2 linked regions of the Pelodiscus sinensis genome follow. The protein of the gene in region 2 interacts with the protein of the main gene of each other region in a pairwise test. Links are inferred from orthologs where the notes say so. Each region holds a gene or a part of one and is shown on either strand. Other genes may lie near its edges.

Region 1 (3,748 bases), on a different chromosome or scaffold from region 2:
AATGCCAGCTAAAACGGCCTTCTTGGTTCCTATTTCTGTTTTTCCTTCAGAATACCTAAGGGTACGTCTACACAGCAGCATTATTCCGAAATAACGTATTGCGCGTCTACACAGCAAGCCCATTATTTCAAAATAAATTTGAAATAATGGACTTCTTACTCCAACTTCTGTAAACCTCATTGTATGTAAACCTATTTCGAAATAAGCGCTGTGTAGACGTGCCCACATTTGAAATAAGCCTATTTGGGTAGCCTGTTTAGATTTTAGCCCTGCTGTGTAGAGGTGCCCTAAGTGGGTGGTGCCAAGTGGTAACAATGGAGCAGCAGCAGATCACACAGGAATCGGTCCGGCCAAAATGGGCTACGCCAGGTCTGCCCCAAGAACGAGCCCACGGGCTGAAGGAGCAGAGATGGTCTCCCATGTCATGGGGGCTTGTTTCCAGCCAGTTTTTTTGCTCCTGTGAGGGAGAAGCTGGCCCAGTTTGAGTGAAATGCCCAGGGGCAATTCTCCCATTGCCACAGGACTGGCACTTGGGGTGGGCCACGGCCCAGCTGAGAGGTTGAGTGCAAGGCACTGGGTCGACTGGAGCAAGGCGGGGATCACTGGTCACCCCCTGGCGTGACTATTTGCTGCTGTTTTGTCATGGGCTAACCAGCTACCTCATCTTGGGGGGTGAGGCGTGGGGGCTGCCCACTGGCTGGGGGCATTGCACAAAGCTGAAGGGGGTGGTTAGAAATTAAGCACCTGAGTTCTCCCTCGCCCTGACTCCTAATCAGCCTGGGCCAGGCAGCTCTACAACCCCAACCTCCTGCCCCCAGGTGGGCACCCGCCCTGCTCCACTCATTCCCGCCCGCCCGAGTCGCTCCCCTCTGGCCACGTCCACCCCGGGAGCGGAGTGTCTCTTCGCGCGCCCGACCGCGTGCTGTGCCTCTGCTGCCCTGGGAAAGGGGGCGGGCTCGGAGCGCCTCTTTCCTTCGCGCGCCCGCCCGCCCGCCTCGAACTCGTCGGCTCCTCCCCTCTCGCGAGCGCGGCGGGAGACTGGAGCCGTTTTAAACCCGCCCGAGCCGGGGGCCGCAGCCGGCGCACTGAGGAGCGTGAGGTACCGGGGGGGCCCCTCCAACCCCCCCCCCGCATGTGTGGGCGGGGCCTGGCCCCGGGCTAGCGGGGTGACCCCCCCGCATGGTATTGCCTGGGGGGGCTATGTGGAGTGATCCCCCCCCCCGCATGGTATTGCCTGGGGGGGGGCTATGTGGAGTGATTCCCCCCCCCCCGCATGGTATTGCCTGGGGGGGGGCTATGTGGAGTGATTGCCTGGGGGGGGCTATGTGGAGTGATCCCCCCCCCCGCATGGTATTGCCTGGGGGGGCTATGTGGAGTGATTCCCCCCCCCCCCGCATGGTATTGCCTGGGGGGGCTATGTGGAGTGATTCCCCCCCCCCGCATGGTATTGCCTGGGGGGGCTATGTGGAGTGATTCCCCCCCCCCGCATGGTATTGCCTGGGGGGGCTATGTGGAGTGATTCCCCCCCCCCCGCATGGTATTGCCTGGGGGGGGCTATGTGGAGTGATTCCCCCCCCCCCGCATGGTATTGCCTGGGGGGGGGCTATGTGGAGTGATTCCCCCCCCCCCGCATGGTATTGCCTGGGGGGGCTATGTGGAGTGATTTCCCCCCCCCCCGCATGGTATTGCCTGGGGGGGGGGCTATGTGGAGTGATTTCCCCCCCCCCCATGGTATTGCCTGGGGGGGGCTATGTGGAGTGATCCCCCCCCCGCATGGTATTGCCTGGGGGGGGCTATGTGGAGTGATTCCCCCCCCCGCATGGTATTGCCTGGGGGGGCTATGTGGAGTGATTTCCCCCCCCCCCCGGCATGGTATTGCCTGGGGGGGGCTATGTGGAGTGATTCCCCCCCCCGCATGGTATTGCCTGGGGGGGGGCTATGTGGAGTGATTCCCCCCCCCGCATGGTATTGCCTGGGGGGGGGGCTATGTGGAGTGATTCCCCCCCCCCCGCATGGTATTGCCTGGGGGGGGGCTATGTGGAGTGATTTCCCCCCCCCCCGCATGGTATTGCCTGGGGGGGCTATGTGGAGTGATTTTCCCCCCCCCCCGCATGGTATTGCCTGGGGGGGGGCTATGTGGAGTGATTCCCCCCCCCCCATGGTATTGCCTGGGGGGGCTATGTGGAGTGATCCCCCCCGCATGGTATTGCCTGGGGGGGGCTATGTGGAGTGATTTCCCCCCCCCCCGGCATGGTATTGCCTGGGGGGGGCTATGTGGAGTGATTTCCCCCCCCCCGGCATGGTATTGCCTGGGGGGGGCTATGTGGAGTGATTTCCCCCCCCCCCGGCATGGTATTGCCTGGGGGGGGCTATGTGGAGTGATTTCCCCCCCCCCCCGGCATGGTATTGCCTGGGGGGGGCTATGTGGAGTGATTTTCCCCCCCCCGCATGGTATTGCCTGGGGGGGGGGCTATGTGGGGAGCCCAGGGCTAGTGGGGGACCCTGCTGGCCCCGTGCTTCCCTCAGTGCTTTTGCCTTTGAAGTGTAGCAACCCCCTCCTCTTCCTCTCCCCCCTTGCTGCCTCTTTCTGCTAGAGGCAGCAAGGGGGGGAGCGACTAGTCAACTAGTGTGTCAACTGTCTGATAAGCATTTGCCCATCGGATAGTCAACTAGTCATTCACATGCCTAATAAGAGCTAGGTATTAATGTAACTTCATTGTCCGTGAGCTTTGCACCCAAATTAACCAATGCAGAGCTACATTGGTAGCTCTTATGGGCTAATCAAATAGTCAATGCAAATTGCATTGACTATTCAATTAGCCACTTAATTTAAATTTAACATCCCTAGCTCTTATAGTGTCTGTTCACTGTACATCTGAAAGCTGTTCAGAAAGTAAGCAGCATTATTGTGCAGTAGGGGAAACTGAGGCAAGGAAGGGACCAGCCCAAAGCCTCACTGTAAGTCAGTGGCAGAGCAGAGGAAAAGATAATGCTCTCCTAAGTCACAGTGGTTCTATTTACAATGGAAGAAGCAGTTTTTACATGTTAAATAGTGTTTTTGCATAGGAATAAAATTGATCCTGATTCATAAAGGGAGGATTCTTGCTATGCAGGACCAAGTTGCTGAGACCTGTGGAGAAGTGCAGTTATAGATGCATGCTGATACCTGGGCACCCTTGGAAAATTTGATTTAGTAGAATAATGTCTTGAAGAAGAGTAACCTGTGTGAAGGCCAACAGTGAACCATTGAATTTCAGAAAGGCATTGAGAATTTTGTTGAAGGCCGTTTTCAGGTTTTAAAATGTTCTCTTGCTTAGTAGGGAGAGATTTACCACATAATCTGTGAAATACTGTACTGTATAGGTATGGTGTATATTTTTCCTAACGTCTTACTTCATAGTTTAAGTAGCTTACCACTATGCTATGAAAATAATTTATCACTGTTACATTCTGCAAATGCTACCCATTTCAGATATTAGTTGCTAAGACACATGACTAACAGCCTTTAAAAAAATAGCCTAAAATAGAATAGTGTGTGCTGAATCTTGAATGTAAAGGGTAACGTAGTTTTGGTTTAGCAGTAAGACAAATAAGGTTAATATCTTGTCTATGCAGACCTGGCCTGGATTGCCTTGTCACTTTTTGTTTCAAAGAGGATTTGGAGAGCTGCAGGTTTAGTGTTAAAAGCCTGTTGTTGAGAGAGTACTTCATGTAAATTTAAACAAGCTATGTGATCAGTGTAAAATAA
Region 2 (3,748 bases):
TATTAAATAACTTCCGCTTTCAATTCCAGATATATCTGCTTTTCCATTATGTGTAAGGTGAGCCATTTGGCCTTTACTTATCTGAAATTGGGGTTATGGGACTTAATGTAAAGTGAATTTACTACTCAAACAATGTGTTATGTTGTGTCGCAAATACTCCCACTCCAGTATTCATGGATATTGTCATTTGCAAGGATCTCAAGAACATATCGCCCCATGAATAGCGAGGACTTCTTGTGATCACAATTGTATTCTGTATTGTAATTTAAATCAATATGTATTAAAATGTAGAAAAATGCCAAAAATTTAATACATTTCAATTGGTATTCTATAGTTTAACAGTGTGATTAACTAAAAAATAAATTCTGCTTGGTCACAATTCTAATCAAGAGTTAACTGCAACTGACAGCTGTAGTAATTAATGTTACTTCCAAAACAAAAATATCCCCAATTTTTTAAAAAAATTATAAAATCTTTTAGCTGTCTCCATCACAAAGCCATACACAAACATCATATACCTCAATATGCAATCAACGTTTGCTTTTGTTGCATCCTACTTAGAACCATCATTTGGTGTTTTGTCTACCTGGTTGCAAACTCATTGGGACCAGGCACTTTATCTCCATATTTTCAGGTAAAGCTCTGCATAAGGAATGAGACTAATAGTATTTTACATGCCATTTGGACTGAATTAACCCCGTCAGTGAGAAGTAGAGGGCAATTCTCTCTGGAGTTAGGCTGCATCCCCAGATCACCTGCCAAAGGGATTCTAGTCAGCAGAAAGATAAATGTTAAAACATACATTTTAAAATGTAATTCTGCTCTCAGGTGCTTTGGGGGCCCGACTCTGATGACCCTGCTGCCCCACTTTGCTCCACTCTCCCCATGCACACCACAGGAGTTAATGAGCCTTCCGCCTCCCACAGTCCCAGATCAGCTGCCCCCCATCTCCTCCACAGGTGAGCCCTCTCCCTCATGCCTGAGCTCCTATTGGCTCGTTCCACCGTTTCCCCGCCCAGTTCCTCGCAGAGCGCGGCGGTGGCCGGGCTGTTGTCCCTCCTGCCGGCAGGGGTCGCCCTCTTGAGACGCGGCAGCCCTGAGGCCCCTCCCAGTGGGCTGCGGTGTTTCCGGACCCTGTCACGTGACAGGAAGAGGTCGACGCCGCGGTTCTGCGTTGCGGCAGCCGCGGCCGGATCTCTGCGAACGGTGGCGTTAGATGGGTCGGAGGCGGAGCCGCTGCGGCCTAAGGAGGAGCCACCACCCCAGCCCCTGCGCCCGCCTGCGCGGCCCCGCGGTAAGGGAGGGGGGCGTCGGCTCCGGTAGCCCCGCTGTGCACAGAGAGCTGCGAGCATCCCTCGCGCGGAGCCCAGCGGCCCCGCCTGCGCCTGGCTCCCGGCTCTGCAGGGGCAGCCCCGCGCGCTGTGGCCTGACCCCCCCCCCCCCGGCCCCTCTCTCCCTCCTCGCCATCGGCGGCGGCCACGGGCATCACGCCGACCGGGCCCCGCGGCGTCACACGTGTCTCCCGGCACCGAGCGGGGGCCAAGGGGCGCGGTCCCGTCGGGCCAGGCTGGGAGCGCCCCGCGGGAAACGCGTCAGCAAATGGGGTAAAACCCGCAGCGCCCGCGACGTGGGTTCAATGTCTCTCTCGAATAGACCGGAGTGTGTGTTGCCCGGGATCTCGGAGGCGTTTAGGTGCAGTCTCGGGAGGGGGGACTGGGTCTGTGCTGGGACAGGGGCCAGTCCTGCTGCCTGCTCCGTGCCGGATACAGGACATTCACCCTGGGAGTTCAGCATATGTAGCTGTCGTGGCGAGGCATACGTTGAAAGCTTGGAACGGGCTGTTCATTATAATCTGTATAATCTCTTCTGCATATATTGCAGATAATACTGACACCAGAGACAAATAGGACTAGCATATGTATGATGTAGGGGACCTAAGCACAACTAACAGTCAGTGCTAACTCTTAAGTTGCTCTAGTTATGTTATTTAGGGGTAACACTGGAGACCTGTAGTTAAGTTGATCTAAACTTAACTAGTATGGAGGCCACTAGTTAAATTACATAATTTACTTAACTTAAATTGTAACTTAGATTGATTTACAGCAGGTGGGAGCCAATACACTCAGGGAGCCAGCTTTTAAGTTGGCCCCCTGTGCATGCTGTACAGAGCTGCCTCCCACCCACCTGCACTCATGGCTCCCACAGAAGCAGCAGCATGGGTTAGGGCAGCCAGGAGCTGGTTCTCATGGGGAGTCTGCTTAAAAGTGGGCTCTCTGCAGGCACTGGCTCCCGCCTCCTTTCCCCACATGTAAAAGTGTACCTGCTAAAATGTTCTGCTAGTACACAATTATACAAATAACACATTTTAACATCCCTAATGTACACATTGTTCTGGTAGCTTTGGTAGCGTCTAAGGAAAATGTTTTGCTGGGTTTAATCTGTGTTGTGATATCAGTACAGCCTATGGCAGTGTTTCCTCAATGGTGTTCTGTGGAACCTCGGGGTTCAAAGTGAAAATAAGGGTTCTGCAAGAAAATATTGTCATTTTTGTTTTTAAATATTTGCAATTAAACTAAATGGTGATCTCATGACCTTGTTTAGCATTTGTTTATTATTATCCTTACTTATTTGTGGTCTCCTTTTTCAGTTCCATATATAAGACTCTTATTAGGGGTTCTGCAAAATTCTTTCAAGTTTAAAAGGGTTCTGTGGCCAAATAAAATTGGGAAACATTGGTCTACGGCATCTCACTAGACACTTATGTAATCTCATGTACATCTTGAAATAGAGAAGGAGACAGCTTCTAAGAATATTTAGGTAAGATGATTATGGAAGAGAAGCAGGTACTGATTGCTACAGTGTGTGCAATTAGAGAGAAATGAATGGTATTGCAGATTATTCGTATTACTCTTTTATTACTTTATCTGCCTTTGAGCCAGGGTCATGGGTGAAGACTGCATTGTGCTAGGTGCTACACAAACACAGTACTGAAAGATAATTCTTGGCCAAAGGAGCTTGTACTCTAAAGACAAGACATGAGACAACATATGGATTCAAACAGATGGAGTACAAGGAGACAGAGACAATATTGGTCGTAAACAGTGGTCACAGCATATGAGCCCCCCTATCATCAAGGGTGATGGTTTGCTTTTTTTGAGGGGTGGGAGCATCACAGCGAGAGAAAGTATTAAGGAGGGATATGAAGGAAGATAAGTGGATAGCTTTTTGAATGTTTATGGTGAGCTCTTCTCAAGTACAAGTGAGAGTATGAGAGAGAGCACAAAAGTGCTTATTTGAAAACTAACAAGTGAATTATGAAGGCTGACCTCATGGGCCAATTGGAGGTGATGATCAGTAGCCAATGAAAGACAAGCAAGGTGCGGATTGTCTATGAAAGTACTTGAAAGTGAAAATGAGCAGTTTAATGTTTGATATCCTAAAGGAGGGGGAGCTAGTGGAGGGATGCAAAGAGGGATAACATTGTTGAAGTTGCAATGCTGCATTGTCTCATTTAGCTGTGTTAGGTTCATAGTACTTACAGTGAACTGCAGCAAAAATTGCAGAGGCTATAAGATCAAATGGCAAATGTGTAGGGGCATATTACAGTCACTATTTAGTAGTAGTTAGGAATCTTCAACCCCACCTTTCAAAAGTGGCACTCTTTGTTACTTTCAAGACAAAGAAGATAAAACAGTTACTCACCTTTTATAAGGTAAGGGGAGGGATAGCTCAGTGGTTTGAGCATTGG

What was found.
Region 1: the proteins of EXOC1 (region 2) and SFR1 interact in a two-hybrid assay, tested with the Homo sapiens proteins (2 studies listed by BioGRID and IntAct). The link is inferred for Pelodiscus sinensis from reciprocal best matches to the Homo sapiens genes EXOC1 and SFR1.

The regions. Positions count from the first base shown.
Region 1 is NC_134718.1:70,960,946-70,964,693, reverse strand, and holds the start of SFR1 (swi5-dependent recombination DNA repair protein 1 homolog), read left to right. Parts: upstream 1-1,001; 5' UTR 1,002-1,099; intron 1,100-2,476; exon of another isoform or gene 2,477-3,748. UniProt on the Homo sapiens protein: Component of the SWI5-SFR1 complex, a complex required for double-strand break repair via homologous recombination. Acts as a transcriptional modulator for ESR1.
Region 2 is NC_134715.1:84,576,360-84,580,107, reverse strand, and holds the start of EXOC1 (exocyst complex component 1), read left to right. Parts: upstream 1-1,078; 5' UTR 1,079-1,294; intron 1,295-3,748.